Linked DNA regions of Drosophila melanogaster. The protein of the gene in region 3 interacts with the protein of the main gene of each other region in a pairwise test. Each region holds a gene or a part of one and is shown on either strand. Other genes may lie near its edges.

What was found.
Region 1: the proteins of CG10222 (region 3) and CG3704 interact in a two-hybrid assay, tested with the Drosophila melanogaster proteins (one large-scale study listed by BioGRID).
Region 2: the proteins of CG10222 (region 3) and CG32683 interact in a two-hybrid assay, tested with the Drosophila melanogaster proteins (one large-scale study listed by BioGRID).

What each region holds. Positions count from the first base shown.
Region 1 is NC_004354.4:937,513-942,811, forward strand, and holds CG3704 (uncharacterized protein), read right to left. Parts: upstream 3,294-5,299; 5' UTR 3,222-3,293; coding exon 2,640-3,221; intron 2,575-2,639; coding exon 2,221-2,574; intron 2,165-2,220; coding exon 1,952-2,164; 3' UTR 1,658-1,951; downstream 1-1,657. Other genes in the region: CG32815 (uncharacterized protein), read left to right, coding at 429-500; mus81, read left to right, coding at 3,682-4,962; CG3703 (uncharacterized protein), read right to left, coding at 5,095-5,284.
Region 2 is NC_004354.4:10,451,142-10,457,608, forward strand, and holds the start of CG32683 (uncharacterized protein), read right to left. Parts: upstream 3,755-6,467; 5' UTR 3,495-3,754; intron 1,352-3,494; 5' UTR 1,291-1,351; coding exon 1,016-1,290; intron 1-1,015.
Region 3 is NT_037436.4:13,409,604-13,414,916, reverse strand, and holds CG10222 (uncharacterized protein), read left to right. Parts: upstream 1-2,463; 5' UTR 2,464-2,464; coding exon 2,465-3,388; 3' UTR 3,389-3,795; downstream 3,796-5,313. Other genes in the region: flr (flare), read right to left, coding at 1-251, 317-580, 769-859, 1,479-1,600, 1,942-1,975.

The DNA.
Region 1 (5,299 bases), on a different chromosome or scaffold from region 3:
AATGAGAGATAGAGAGAGCAGCACCATGGACAGGAGCCCAGGTTGGATTGGTGGACACTTGCCACTGACCACTGAACACTGGCTACTTGGCTCCCTGTTTGATGTAATCTCGTTAGCTCAAAACTACCACTGCAACATTTCTGCTGCATTTACTTCCTCGACACACAAAAGAACGAACTATTTCTTAGCCTAAATGTTTTGTTTCATTTAAGTTTACGTCATTTTTAAAACAAATTTTTTTTATTTTTATACATACAAAAAAAAAAAATGAAAAAAGAAACAAATACAACAAAAGAGAAAAGCAAAGCCCACACTGCGTGTTTTCAATTGCTCCTCCTCCTTCTCCTGCAACTTCCCATTGTCCTGGTGATTACCCCAAGGTGATCCATATGGTGATCCGAAGCCTGAATAACTTTTCTCTCTTGCAGGACATCGAGGAACAGGGCGCCGAGGACAACGCCACCCTGCTGACCACCACCAACCTGTCGGACGACGACTAATTGGAGCTCGTTCAGATGATTCCCTGTTCGCCCTCGGTTCCAGCTTTTGATTTCCGGCCTGCTTGAGCGATCCAAAGTCGCTGGCTGGGCCATCGCCCACTTCGCCCATCCGTTTGAGACACACACGATTACCCAGACACCTGGACCTGCTGAGATGGCTCCACGCCAGCTGATCCAGTATGCTAATCCCGATCCCGATCCCCAAATTTCCCCTCCGCTTCTGGCCATGAGGCAGGCGGAAGGCGGAGCAAAGAGTAATCCAAGCACGAAGAAGACTGTTTCTGAAACTACTGTTTAGCTATCCCCAAATTTTTCCAATGCTTGTCTTCACCCCGCACTGTCCCCCCCCTCTTACCAATCACCCATCCTTACAAAACTGTGTGCGTGTGTGTGCTGATAGTGTGTGTGTATGTGTGTGTGTGTGATCCCCAAGATACCCGTTACTTATAAATATGCATAAATGCAAGAGCTAGCTTGATAACTTGACGTGCGAGGGATGTGGTGGTGTCCACGCTGGCCACTGAGCCCCTCCGTGCACCACCAATAGCTGGGCTCTCGGCACGAAGATGTGACAATGTTCGATCTCATCCGAAGTACTTTCCAAACTAACCGAGCTTTTTAAACACAATCCACCTTTTGTGTCTGCTGTTCCTGCTGCTCTGAAACCAATTGGTGGACGCATCGCGGAAAAGGGAGCACCGAGGCACAAAAGCACCGAGGCACAGCCCTCGGAAAACGCACTCAAATCAAATGAAACGTCCAGAGATATGAATATTTTTTTGCAAGCGACTACACCTAATTTGCAGCACAGGCAGGCGGGGATGGGGATGGGGATGCAAGTCCGTCTTGGCCCAAAACGCTTGGCGATTCGATTCGATTCGATTCAGATGGGACAGTTGGGCAGTGAGCAGTAGGGCGGTGAGAAACCGTAGCGGGGGACTACTGTTCGTCTATATAAACTGTGTATAACTGTGAGGCATTGACAAGTATTTGAGATGATCTGTATTTTTGTAAGCGTAATATTTAAAGCGGCAGCCAATAACGAGACAACCAAATCCAGAGAAGCAACTATAAAGCGTAAGATATCGGGCGCAGCAGCCAACACACGCGACACACAATTTATTTGCTCAACGCAGTACACACCACACATGATACATACAGCATAAATGTAAATATATATATATTTATCTGCATACATATATATATATACAGAGTAAGTTACGCAAAGTATGAGGCTTGCATTTACATTTACGAGCGGGATATATCCTCCATATGTATATGTTATCACTAATTTGCAAAGCTAAACTAAGTCCATATATACAAACCAAATATCGGAGGTGCAAGTGACGAACACACACTATATTGAATGTTTTTGCTTGTTAAAGTAAATAATAAAAATGAAAACTCGAAATCACGAAATCCATAGCCATCGAGGATCACAATCCGCCCATTTACGGCTGAGCCTGTTCCTGTTCCTGCTGCAGTTTGTCCCGCTTGCTCTGCTGGGCAGTCAGGTGGTTCTGCACGAAGCTGTGGAAGTTTTGTTCTTCGGCGGTGCCCTTCGCGTCCTCCTCCATCTCCTCCTCGTCTTCGATTTCCGCCGACTCGGGCACCAGACTAGGTGCCATTAGGAAAATGCTGTTTCCAGTGTGCGGCGGTGGGTCCTGAAATAGTTAAGACCCTGCAGTGGGTGCACAAATAGCCGAGGAACTGTTCCTACCTGAAGCGACAATCCCAGGGGAACGGCATGGCCGTCCTCTTCCACATGATCCACTGGCTTTGGACCCGTCGCACTCTCCGCCAGTCGCTCTTGGCGCTTCTTTTCGTAAACAGGCTTGTAGTCCGTCTCGTACTCGTCCACGCTTTCGAGAATCTTCGTCAGTAGCTGGGTGAAGCCTACGCCTGTCTTGGCCGAGACGCCGCACGTTCTTAGATTCTCGTAGAAGGTGTCCAGGGTGAGCGACATGGTGCGCGTGAGGTTGCTCACGAAGCTGTGCTCCTCCTCCTGGGCCTCCTGGAAGGCCTCGAAGTCTGTCATCCAATCCATCACAAATCCGCAGTCCTTTAGGTCGATCTGTTTGAAGCGGAAAAGAAGTTTTCTATACATCTGGATATCTGGGTTGCCGGGAAAGTCGTTACCTTGTTCAGCGCCACAAGGAAGGGCAAACGGGTCTTGTACAGGATGGAGCAGGCGTACAGCATGTTGGACATGAAGGTGGTAGGGCAAGCACTGCGCTCCACATCCATTACATAGACCACAATGGTGGGAAACATGGTGGCCAGTCCCTCGGTTATGATGCTCCCGGAAGCCGACCAGTTAAACACCTCGATCTGTCCGGGCGTGTCGATCACACACCACTTGTGTCCGCGCTCGCCAGCGCGACGCACTAGCTCCGCAAACTGTGCCATTTTGGTGGTGAACATATTGAGCGCGGTCACAATGCCACCGTTGGGACCCAGTTGGTACTGCTTCATCACCTCCCGGTAGTTGACCGTGTCCCGTATGTCCACGTGCGCCGCGTACGGTACTTCCCTGCACGCCGGATCCAGGTTGACCACGTACGGATTGAACTTCTCCTGGGCGTGCTGGATGAGCTTCTGTGTGAACGTGGTCTTCCCGCTGCCGGCCATTCCCAGCACCAGTATGCACACGGGCGACTCCCGGATTCCCTCGCTCAGCGACAGCGCCTCCAGCTTGATGCTCTCCACTCCCTCTGCCATTTCTCTCACGGCTTCACTAAGAATCAAAACAAAAACAGGAGGCGCAAAAACAAGCGTGCAGAGGCAGTGTGACCGTCCTATGGAAAGTGTGCTCTTTGCGCCGCCTGAATTCGCTTCAGATACCAACAAACATCAGCTGTTGTTGCTGCTTTTTATCCTGCGTGGAAACATGTCGGCCATTACATAGTTAACACACTCCCTTAATCGCAGCAGCCTTCGTGGAATCACACATCTTCAGTTTTGCCAGTTCAGTTTTTGCTTGCCCGCCAAAAAAACAAATCAAAAAAAAATACCGAAGAGTTTAGAACATACCGTATATATCGAAAGCCATAATAAGCTTTAAACTAGTTGTACAGTAATAAAAATGCCACCACCAGAAGCCGGCAATTGAAGCGCGTTTATTTGCCGTGCATTAGTTTTATTATTTGGCATTGTTTTACATAATAAAAGTTGTGAAGCAATGGAGACCCGACTGGAAGTGCTCTTGCGGGAGCCGAATCCATTGTTCACCCGTTGGCTGGAGCGCTGGCTGCGCGAAGCGGAGCGCCGAGAACAGAAGTCCCAGTTTAGCCTGCGCCAGGCGTTGGAGTCCCTAAAAAGCTACCCTCTGCCATTGGCCAGCGGACGAGACTGTTCCATTCTGCGCGGCTTTGGGGGCACCCTCTGCCAGCTAATCGACGAGGAACTTCGCCATCACAGAGGCCTCCAATTGCTGCCACAGGAGGCCGTGGTTCAGGAGCGCTACGAGCAGCAGGTCCAGGCGGTAGTACGCAAGGTTCAGGAGAAGCAGCTGGAACACCAGAAACGCCAGAATAAATGCGACAGGCCCAGGAAGCTAACCAAAAAAGATCTGGCGGAGCTGGCAGCCCTTGAAGAGCGGGAGCGCGTCGTGCGAATGAAACCAGGTCAATTCCAGTTACTCCTTTTGGTGGATACTCAGGAAACCAGTGGCAAAAACAAGAGAGTTCTGGACCAGACGAGGAGCTACTTGGAGTCCTTGGGAGCCCGTCATGAAGTGCGTCGCCTGACAATCGGCGATTTCCTTTGGGTGGCCCAGGATCAAGAGGGCAATGAACTGGTTTTACCCTACATTGTGGAGCGCAAGAGGATGGACGACCTGGCATCGAGTATTCGGGATGGTCGCTTCCACGAACAGAAGCACAGGCTGCAGCACTGCGGCCTGCAGCACATCATCTACCTGGTCGAGGACTATGGCGATAACGAGCAGCTGGGCCTTCCACTGGACTCCTTGCAGCAGGCTCTGACTAATGCCAAAGTTCAAACTGGTGTCCGAGTGGTGCGCACGGCGAATCATTACCGATCCATGAGCTATTTGGCCGGAATGAGTCGCACCCTTGGCCAGATATTCGCCGGCAAGAAGTTGCACAGCGTGGATCGCGGCGCCATCGACCAATCCACCTGCCTGCTCACGCATTCCGACCTGGGGTTGCTCAAGTTTCGGGCCCTATATGAGGATTCCGCAAAGAATGCCCAGCTCACAGTGCGCGAGGTTTTCGTGCAACAGTTGCTACAGCTGCATTCCCTTTCCCTCGAACGCGCCATGGCTATTGTGGAAAGATACCCCACTCCACGCTGGCTGCTGGACGCATACGCGGAGTGTGCAGACCAAAAGCAGGCCAGGCTACTCCTCGCCAGCATCCCGTGTGGACCCCTGGAACGTCCACTGGGCGACAAGATCAGCCAGTGCCTACACGAATTCTACAGCACGCACTTTCGTTAGGATTAGCAATTGATTTTATGGGACATATCTAAGGTTATATACACGAGTTTATACATAAGTGAGAGAGAGAATACGTTGGACATTGAATAGTGTGATCTAGTCTAAGCCAAAAAATGTACAAGTCAGCCGCCCTTAGATGTTGCGGAAGTGCCGGATGGCCAGGTCCACCGGCAGGTCGAAGTCAAATCGAGAAAGAGCATCGATGGAGCGCAGTGAGTCGCGGAATCCGGTGCGGGCCACGTAGCTGTCTGCTGAGTAGTACGTGTCCACCAGTTCATGGCAGCTGAGGATCAGGTTCAGCCACTCCACCAGCAAATGGGAACTGTTTGAAGGAAGA
Region 2 (6,467 bases), on a different chromosome or scaffold from region 3:
TACATTGCGATATGGAGTGCACAATCAGCGGGCAATAGAGCCAATAGAGATAAGATCTCCTAATTTCATTCATGAACTATAATTTACATATAAGCGCAAAAATCGAATATTATATTAATATTTCGAAGACGTGGCACACTAAATATTACATTCCAATAAACAACTTTTTAATTATGAAAGAAGTTTCTTCGGGCAAGTTGACATCCAGAAAAAAAAAATGACAAAAAAGGGTGCGCTTGTCATCCAAAAAGTTCCCAAAGGACTCGCTTTAAGGTCTATTTTCGGGGAGTGGCTGGTATCTATTTATAAAGCTTCCCCAATTGGAATCCCCCACCAAACTGCAAAATGTGTTAATTCGTTGTACATAGCAGTCAACAAAGGTTTTTACCCAGAAAATTAGGGTATGAGATTAGGTTAAGGATTGCGATCTAAAGAGTGGGTCAACTTGGGCTAATTGACACCGAAGTCATTTGGAGTGGTGTAATTATATTATGACTCTGTGTTTTTAAAACACTTGGAGTTAATTGTATATTAAGCGTTTGTTTCAAGCTGGAGATTTCAAAGATTTTACAAGGATTATATACATAATATGTATAATAAATACTATATTATAGGGTTATACTTAATAGGTATTTGTTAAACATACATTAGAAGACCTATAACTTTACATATTTATAATGTCTTACTTGTTGTATTGGATGAACTAATTTCCGTATAATATATATATATATATATACATATCGGTTAATATAATTAAATTATGTATGTATGTATGGGCATGCTATTCGATATATTGTAATGGTGTTGATTTAATTTGGGACAGTTGGCTTCACTTTTCGGGCCAGACTAGGCCCAACTTTTGGCCCGACTTGCCTCCACAACATCGCATGCCCAATTAGCTAATGGATATTGACAAGGTCGCTCGGAGCGCGAGGATGGGCTGGATGTCGATGGAGTGTTCGGAACGGGAATGGCTATCGGAATGGGAATCTGTATCGGAATTCGCTTCACTCACCTGTCGCCGTGCGAGTCCCTGTCCCTGTCGCGTTCCAGCCCCGGATTTGGATTGGCCGGAGCGGGTGCATCCGATTCGCCAGCAGCTGCAGCGCCAATTGCTGATCCCGATGCCTCCTCCACCTCGACATCCATCTCCACTTCCGGTTCCGCTTCCGGATCCGGTCCAGATCCGCAACAGGCATGTCTGCTGCCAGGAGCCTCATGCTCCCGCTCCTGCTCCTGCTGCTGCTCCTCCTCGGGGATTGGCTCCTTTTCCTGCTGCTTGTCCGACATCCTGGCTCTTTCCGTTTCGGGTTTTTTTCTTTTTTCTAGGTCCTGCTAATATGGACGGGTCCTTTCCAGGTCGCGATGAAATGGTACAGAGCAGATGCCCAAGTGTTGTAATTGTTTTTTAATAAAATCGCTGCTGCCGCTGCGGCTGCCCAGGCATGAAGTAAAAAAATAAAATGGAAAAGAAGAAATGAAACGAAACAAAACAATGCCATGCGAACAAAGGAAAATTAATGTAAATTAATTGCTGTGGCTGGTGGAAAGCCTCTTACACCCAGCCCTCACTTTTCTTACTTTCTTCCTCATTTCCTGGTGTTTTTTTTTCATTTACATTTTCTTTTTGTCTGTTGTTGGTTTGATGGTCGGACCAAATTAGCCGCAATGTTAAAATAAAAAGCAAAAAGTTCTCCTTACTGGATTTTAAATTGTGGCGAAGGTAGGAGAGAAACTATAATATTATTTCAACGCTTCGGGCGAGTAAATTAGAAACTGCGTTGGACTGAAGAAGACCCATTAAAATAACGTTCATATTTATATAAAATTAACTCCCTTACCAATAATGAGTGGCAAAGCGCAAATAGAGCAAGTTGAGTTAATTTTTGGATGATTTATTTTAGCTGGGAAGCTACTTAAATGCTTTAAAAATCTATATTTATTATCCCACTAATCTGTTAATTTGCAGAGCAGAAATATCTCCCTGTTTTTGAGCCGCAATGGAAAAGCAGCAAAAAGGCTAAGAGCCAGTGGCTGTGACGGACAAGGGGCTTAATGCGTCAACATCCTGCCGATTACAATTGATCACCCAGAGCGGATTAAAGCATATATACATACATATATATAGTGAAGCACCGGACAATTCAAGTAATTAAAAAAGGAGTAAGAACATCGCCACTTTGTGGATTTGGTTATTTGTTAAAGGGATTCAAAACCCCACTCGGGGTTTAAGCAAAAAGTGTAGCATGCTTTTCAGCGCAAACTTTATTTAAGCCACTATACAAACATTCCAACTCTTTTCATGATTAAATATTTATGATTGCAAAGTAAATAAGGTAAGTAACATTTTCTCTACATCCATAAACATTTATTTAACCAAACACATAGTAAAAAAAACAAATACAAATTGAATAGCACATGCGAAGCAGACAGAACCGCAAATCTCGAATCATTCACATACGATTAGGAATCAAACGGGCTGAAGGGCAAAAGCCGATTAGATTAGGGCGGAAAGCGGTTAGTCATGGTCGCAAATGAACTGCTCACCGGCGTAATTGGCCAGGACAAACAAAGCAGAGCTATCAGCTGCCGCCGATAAGTAGGCAACACTTAATGGATACCAAAATATGGCATTTGGCGGCCAGTTGTGATCGTTTGACTACAAATGCCCCATACCCCATTCTCCTAATACCTGATACCCTTCAACTCGGATCAAAGGACCAGAAAGACCGCAAGACCATAAGAAGAACTACTCTTATTTCTGTGGCTTCTACGGGTTTCCTCAAAACATAAATGGGAATTTTCACAGCATTTGCATATGAATGATTCACACGGCCATGCATAACAAAAGGCCACGGTTGGATGGGTGGATGAGTCTGAGTGGGCGGGTACGACAGATAAATAAAGTATAAAACGGTGCCCAAGGAGAGGAACTGGAGCTTCTGTTTTAGGATAGCGTATATATAGATGACACCCCCCTGTGTCTGCGAACACGTCCTCATCAAATATGAAAAAGCAACACAAAATTACCAAAAAAAAAAAAAACAAAATAGGAAGAAAGACGAAAGGAACCGGAACCCAAGCAAGAGCAAGAGGAAATAACGAACCTAAACCAAACCAAACCAAACTCAAACGAAATGAAATAAAATAAAATTTTCTGCATAGGTCTGCATAAACTGGATACTACACCTCGAAAGAGCCGAGCTAAGCAAAAAAAATGAAAAGGAAAACGATGGCTTATAATAGCTGGCTGGACAGGGGCACCAAGGATACCTGACCTCCGACTTTACCGCTTAGCCGCTTTGTTGTTACCTACTTTTTTCGCTTTAGGTTCGTGTGTTTTTTTTTTTTTTTCTTCTTTCTGCTGGTGTTTTGTTGTTCAAAAAGAAAGCCCCTCAAACAAACTTTCCATAACACGCACGCACTTTCAAAAAATTAACAAAAAAAAATACGTACAACAGACACCAAATGAGAGGAAGAACCAGAGTTCAAACCTTGATTTCTTTGTTGATATTTCAATGAGCACGCGAGACAGTGTCTTTCAAAAAAATTTTGATTTTCAATTTAAATTTGGAATTGAATTGGATTGGGATTTGGATTTGAAATGTTCGATCGGATTGTCCGATTTGGGATCTGTTCTGACTGACTCCTTTCGATACTGAATATAACTGCTCCACACTTCTAATCCTCGACACTACTTTTCCGGGGGCTCTCGGTTCACGGCAAACGTAACCGACTGTGGCTGAACAGGAACTGAGTCGTCTTGTCAGCGGACGCGCTATTTTAAATCGGCCAGCGCACTGTTGCTTCCCTGTTAACTTGGCCGTAAACGGTTTGGGCCAGCTGTTGCCAACAGGCGAACCTGTTACTGCTACTCCGAAAGCTTTTTCCGAAAAGCTCTGGCTAAACGACTTACTGCCGTGAAGTTCTCCGTAGGACCTTTCTGAAATATTTCGGATAATACTTGCTTACCTTAATTCCAGCCTACTGAAAAAACTTACTTACCATGAGATTTTGTTTCTTATACTTTATAAACTACTTCTGTAATAAAAATTAACAAATAGCTTACTAAAAACGAACATCTTAAATAAGGGAACGTGATGTACAAAGAAGGCTGTAAATATGAGTAAAATGTTATTGAAATTCTTAAGCAGAAGGTCTTGAGAATGCGATATTCAAGAGCAGCAGGACACCGTCCTATGAGCTCGCCTGCGGAGGAGCTTAAATGCAGCTGAATATATATCCGCCAGCGGTGACCAACGCTGCGTATACTCGATAATTCAGCTCGCCTCTTTGTACGCCTTACGCTATGACAACGGAATAATCATGATTTTTTTGTTTTTTTGGCCACTTGCAGTCGGGGCAATAAATCATCTTCGATGACAATGGGCCGCTACATCATCTGCCTTTTGCGCCATGCCTTTCTGTTCCGCCCTAAAAAGCGTTAAAAGTGAAAACATAAAGCATATAAACTTTGATGGTTCTATTACTCTTTTCTGCTGTGCATTTTTTTTATTCCAACGTGTTTCTTTTGGCGGTCTTAGGTTCAGGTTTTCACCCAAGAAGACTCTTGGCTTCCAGCCGAATCCGATGTCATGTCCGGTTTTGATGGCGTTGAGACGGAGCAGCTTGTCCTCACATTATGGTCGCAGTCGTTAAGCTCCACATGCGTTACTTTGTGACGGTTTTACGAAGCCAGCTTGAAAAAGGCAGGACAGGCGAGAGATCCAGGATATTCGGGGCACATGCCGCAGTTAGCACCCGCGCAAATTATGATTGCACACATCGCTCATCATCTTAAAATCAGCTCTTAATTTACCTAATGCCTATTTATTTTATTGCATAATAGGCTTAAATGTTTAAATCCATTTTCTTGTTTCGGAAACTCTTCTTTTAAAACAAATGATTTCATAAAGATGCCAACTGGATAGCTTAATATATGTACAAATATCTGGTGAAATAACCTGCACCAAAGGAAGTGAATATTGTGTTCTGGTTAACACAATGCCCTTCCATTTAAAGTAAACAAGTGGAGCACTAGGACAATGGCAAGGAATGGCGAAAACTAGAGGAATGGTAGGCTATAAAGGGCTTTTGTTTTCCGGTTTTGCGATGAGAGGAGTACTAGAGGATATAGAATTATTCACTGCTTAGCAATTTACCGGTAGTTCAGAACTCCTGGCAGTGAAACTAAAAAACAGAAGGGAAAAAATAAACCCTTTTTGTTTGCGCACACGAGCCCCAAGTTGTCAAAACAGTTTATTTACCAAATTCATGAGCTCTGTTTGTGCCAGCTTACTATACACTTTATTTATGCTCAATCATGGAATTCGCACAGCACACATATTTCAAATAATATTTTATTTCATTTTTATGTTTTTGTTTTATGTTTGTACGAGGGGGGGGGAAGGAAGTGTGGGAAAGCGACGGGTTTTTTGTTAGTACCAACAAGTTTAGAATATCCAGTCGCTATGCAATGCTATAAATCATGACCAGGTCCAGGGACATTTCAATTCCGTTTATTTTGTTTCGGTTACAACTGCTCCGCTGCCTCACTGCCAATCTGCTTTATTGTTGTTACCAAATCAGAATTTTCGGAAGGGAGAATGCGATTTGACGAGAGGGAGATAAATAAATTCAATTCTGGCCATGTAAATCAAAAACTGCTTATGGGCAAACGGGGAAGGTGATTGGGGTGATGACCTTAGGTAGGGCGAACGAAATTAGAAGCCGAAAGCCCCAGAGAAATTCAATCAGTAGCAAAATGAATAACACCATGGTTGAGGCAACGAATTTTTGGCATACTCGGCAGTCATTTATACATATATAAATGATAACTGAACGGATATAACTGAAAATTGAACAAAAAAACGAAAAACTTTTACAATTAAATAACTCATTTAAGTTGGAATGACATGTAGCTAATGCATTGCACGATTGACACCAACCCATTTTACTGGCACCCTGATGAAGCGCCAGTGCTGCGGGCCACCCCGTCGTATACGTAATTAAGAACTTATGAAATGATATCCGCGGTATCGGAAAACAGTTGGCAATTAAAGTGCAACGGGCGTGAAATGCGGTGAATGTTACTGGGCACTACTCGCAAGTGCCGAACTGCCGAAGTATCCATGTATCCAGGTATCCAATCAAGCAGCTCACTGTTGCGTGTACTTAAGACTTTTGCATCCAACAGATATCCACCTTCCTGCTCCATGGTCGCCTGTCATCAATCACGGTTCGAACAGGAAATCGTTACAGCCAGCTAGAAAATGGGTCGAACATGGGTGCAAGTGGTACTGACTGAGCACGACTGAGTCTGACTGCGAAATCGCGAAAAGATACGTATACTTGTAGTTTGCAGCGATATCGCTTGCAATCTGCTCCACTTCCCCTATCAAAAAAAACAAAAAAAAAATGAAGAAGAAGAAGAAGAAAAAACACACGCCTCGCATCTGAACTTTGCT
Region 3 (5,313 bases):
CAGTTGGGTGCTGTCTGGTTTCCAGGCCAATGCGTAAACGCCGCCCTTGTGGGCAGGAGATCCAAATTCGCCCACCAGTTCAGAGCTGGTGCCATCGTACAGAAAGACTTTGCCATCAAAGCCGGCGGAGGCGAAGAATTTGCCATCGGGCGAGTAGCGCACAGCCTGGACGAAGCGAGAGTGATCCTGCTTGGTCATCTTGAACTTGAACGGGGGTCCCTCGAACACGGCGATAGTATTGTCTTCGCTGCCTGTAATAACAAGTGTGTGTGTGTAAGTAAGTTTATTGCATTTTGGGACTATTATGTGAACTCACCCGTAACAATGCGGAATGGCCTGGCTGGCCGGAAGTCCGCCGAGTTAATAGACTTGGACTGGCCACTGATCTCGCCCACAGACGTGCCGGTTTCAGACATAAAGACATGACCGAAACGTTCGCGTCCTTCACCCACGGCAACGATGCGCTGATTGTCTGGCGACCAGCTAATATCCTTGATGGGTCCTGCAATGGGCTGGAACTCATTTTTAAGCAGGTGCTCCTTGTTGACCGTGTCCCAAATGCGAATCTTGCCGGAGGCGTCTGGTGAGAAGAGGAGAAAGCCAAATAAATAACATTGCTCGCTTCAAAACCGCAGATAAGATAAAGAAACCGCTCCAAATAAGGAAATGCTAATCATGACCGTGGCGTGACTCATAGTGGTCACGATTTTTATGCTCTGTTGCCGAAAGCCGGGTGCTCCAAGTGTGAAATTGCTGGGCGAGACTTACCACCAGATGCAATATAAAATCCGCTGGGCGAGTACTTGGCCACGTTCACTGCACACGAGTGCTCCGTGTAGACATCGGCAATGGCTGGATTCTATGGTGCGGAAGAAAGGGAAAAGCATACATACATATTTTAGAGACACTTTTAGCAAATTAAAACAAATTAATGGTAAATGGGATCCTAATTATGAACATAGGTGTTTGGTTTTGAATTTGTTATGTATGTTTCCTTCATTAACATTTCATTTTCCAGAACCTGAATATCTTTTGGCGGAAGATTTTATTTCTTGATCATTAAAGATACCATAGAAGTGGCGGGATTATCGGGACAAAAGACAAAGAAACATGGAAATATTTTGAATTTATACCGATTCAATGGGTGAAAGATAGGCAAACACATAGCTGCTGTGAAGAATCACTTTGACCAGATGAAAACATCATAATGATGATGCGTGGGCGGCAAACAAGAAATGTATCTATGTGCCAGTCTGTGTTTTGCCGGTTGGCCTGTGGAATGGGAATCTGTGTTTTGCGCCTTATATACTGTACATATATATATAAATAAATATAGAACAGCTGCCCGAAAGCCAGAAAGCACACACAAACTGGCAACAGAAACTGCAGCCTGTCCAAAAATAAAACACCATTTGGACGTAAATGCCATGGATTTATGGCAGGAACGGAGCAGCAGGCTGCAGCATATATCAGCTTACCTCGATGTTCCGGATGATCACAGAGTTTCCATTGGTGTACAGGAAGTTCTTGCCCTTGGGATCGGCACCCAAAACGATGGGTTGGCCGCGTTGGGTGCGCGGCAGAGTTGCGTAGATGTTTTCTGCAATTAAGCGATTATTTCGATTAGAAATGGGCTGTGACTGCTGCTACTCAGATAACGCCGGCAAATTGGAGTGGGTGGAAAATAGGGTGCGGCTTCGTTTTTGGGGAGCGAACGGGAACGGGGTCGCTCCAACGGCTCCACACGCGCCTCCTCTTACTGCTTAAAAAGGTCTTTCATATGCATCTATGCCCATTTATGGGCATAATCACGGTGCTTCCGGCGATTGCTTTCTGCTTTTACCGTTTTTCGCCTGTTGACTCATCCCCCTCTCTACGTATCACATTCGGAGTGGGATCGGATTCATGACTCCAGTTTATCTCTGTGGGATTCCAACTCACTGTTTTCGTACGCCGGTGGTTGGGGTTGTGCCATTCTGGTGATTTCTCGGTGCTCCTGAAGCCTTTACTAATTAGTGCGAAATTCCGCGGATAAATGAAAACACCAAACTCAAGTTCGCCGACGATTAGTGGTGGGCTAAGATCGATGTTTTCACCATCGTCGTCATCGATGGTTTTTTCTTTGCTTTATATCGACTTTGCGCTGCGTTTACCCCTTTTTAACAGCGAAGTGAACTGGAAGGAAATTAAAAATATATTGTTCTGTGTTTTATACTAACAGTAACTACTAATTGCTACCGTTTTTAATTATACACTAAAAAATTGTTTTTTTTTTTGGGATTGAGTTTTCAATTTCCTATATTTGAAAAGGAAATATATAATCAAAATTGTATTTTTATCTAATTTAATAAAATGTATATTTTTCAAAAACTATCTAAATATCGATAAATTGCGCCAAATAAATTAATCGGTCTCTGTGGTTCCCCACCTCTACCATTGTTTATATTTTTCATTTTCCGCAAGAATGATGCAAAGATTTCCGACGCAGGCGACCGTGGAGAATCCACGTTATGGACAGCTAATCATAGGACCTCCTGGTTCTGGGAAAACCACCTATTGCGGTGAGGCCCTTAAGTTCTATCGCGAACTGGGCCGTCAGGTGGGCGTTGTGAATCTGGATCCAGCCAACGAAAACATGTCCTACGAACCGGTGCTAAGTGTGATGGAGCTAATCACTGTGGAGGATTGCATGGAGCACCTGAAGCTGGGACCAAACGGAGCTCTAATGCACTGCGCTGAGTATCTGGCCGACCATTTGGAGGATTGGCTGTTGCCGGCACTGCGCAAACTAAGCGCCACTTACAACTACTTCCTGTTCGACTGTCCCGGCCAAGTTGAGCTATATACCCATCACAACGCTATGGCCCGGATTTTCGAGCGTTTGGAGCGTGAAAGATATAGCCTGGTCACCGTTAACCTTATAGATTCCCATTACTGCTCGGAGCCTGCCAAATTCATTGCCACTTTGCTGATGGCATTGAACACCATGTTGCGGATGAGTCTACCCCACGTTAATGTGCTTTCCAAGGCCGATCTGCTAAAGAAGCACGAGACCAAGTTACACTTTAACGTGGACTATTATACGGACGTCCTGGACCTCAAGTATCTGCTGGACAAACTGGACGATGATCCCGCCATGCGCAAGTATCGAAAACTGAATGCAGCCATCTGCTCCATGGTGGAGGACTACGCTCTCGTTTCGTTCCAACTGCTGGACGTCTTCAGCACGGACAGCATGCTCCGCTTGCGCAATCACATCGACAAGGCTAATGGATACGTCTACAAGGCAGGTGAGGAGCAGACGGTCAACTCACTACTAGCCTGCGCCGTGGGTGCAGAAACTGAGGCCGCTCGCATGGAGCATGATGTCCAACCCTATATGGAATAAAAGAACTGAAACTAATCGAAAATAGCCTGTGATATTGTGCATTGTATTTCGAAAATAAGTTATACAAGTCGAGAGTGAGGGATTAAGGTACGGAATGAAAAGCAGTGATTTTTTGGATTTATTAAAATATTATCTCGGCTTGAACTCTTAAACTTTTTTAGTTGTTTTTCTAACCACATATTTTTAAGAGGAAATAAACCTTTAAAGTTGTTTAAATACATTGCAATAAGAATGGTTGATAATCACTTGAGGATCACCTAATCGGAAAACACCAAGAGAACTCTACATTTGAACTTGGAAAATCCAGACCACCACTAGATGTCGCTGCAAACGTTAAAACGTATGATGTATGTAAAATTTTACAGATGTACAGAATTGTACGGGTTTGAATTCAGAATTATTAAATTAAATTTAATAAAAAAAAATACAACAAAAATCATTTCGTTTTGTTTTGTTTTTGGGCTTTGTTGACTTTTTCAGAAAATATGTCAAATGGAGAAAATTGTATTTATATAAATTATGATTTTAAGAATATCCTTTGCTAGGCGAATAAAAATTGACAATTGAACTGATCTAAAATATCAATAAAGAAACTTATACTAAATAATAACTTATTACATAAGAACAGGTATGAATTTCGAAGTCTGGTAGATCTCATCAAAAAGACCCACGTTTCTCGGTAAATTAGTTAGGCTTCAATCAAACAAAAGCGTCCTTTTTAGCATACAAAAACCAAAAGTTCAACTTGAGTCGAAAAGGATCTGCATCTGAACCCTATACTTTGATTTAACTAAAAGCAAAGTCCTCGTTAACATAAATAAAAATTAATTAAGTCCGAGGCGCGTTGTTTTGCGAGATAAGAGCTGGAACGACCGGTGAACATCTCGTGGCAAGCTGCAAATTGTGGCACGTGCACCACAAAACGGGATTGCCATTGACTCCTATACCACGACCAAGTCGTGAGCACTCGGGGGCTCCGTCTTGCAGACACGGGAAGACGCGTTGGGATATAAAAAAGCACCAGGAGTCATCTTATTTTAAGCCGATTCGTGAATCCCCTTTTGCGGGTAGCTTTTATTTAATGAAGCGAAAAAGTTGTTTATTAAAAACCAGCCAAGTTATGCTAATTTACGCTTGTTCTTAAATCTAAAAAGGAGTTATGGATCTTCCTTATACATGTTTAAATGATACGCTTTAGGATTTAAAACTCTTAAGGGCTAAAAAAGAATAAAGAGTTTTAAGAATTTATTGGATTTCTCACCAAAGAATGAGCGTTTACAACAAATCATGAAAGATAAATTTGCTGTATAGCATTGATTATAAAGATATTTAAAAGCCCTCTGCTTAAGCTGGTGGCTCCTCTTTGTAGGGCATAAGAAAACAGCGGCAAAAACGAAAACAGTTATTAAATGCAGCAGGCTCTTGTCAGATTGCAGCAGGCTGGCTGCCAATTCCCCAGTCCCCATTCCCATTCCCAATCCCCCAAAGCACCGATCCCCTTGACCGCAAGCCAAATTAAAATAAACGAAAGTGGTTTCGTGCCAGGACGAAGTGAGTGGGGCTCGGATTCGTTTTGCCTTTGCGATTTGTGTAAAGCAGCGGGCTGCGGTTTCTTGTTTTTTTGGCACACGCTCTGCAGGATAATTCGTCGCGTCCTCAAAAGCCATAAGTGCGATCCCCTGCGATGTAAGCGCGTCAGGCTAAACAGTTAAGCGACCTGGCTTGTAAGAGCGCTATTTGGTTTTGCTTTCCAGGCCAGTCCTGGCAACGATTGCGGTCAAAAGACGCGCGTCCTGTTCCCGAAAAGCAGGTGCACACCAGCAGCGGCAGTCGGGGAAAAATGTGCCAGCTAAGCAACCGGAAAAAAATAAAGGAGTTTCGGCTCTAAGGGCATAGGACTAGGAGATGACCTAGAAAACACGAAG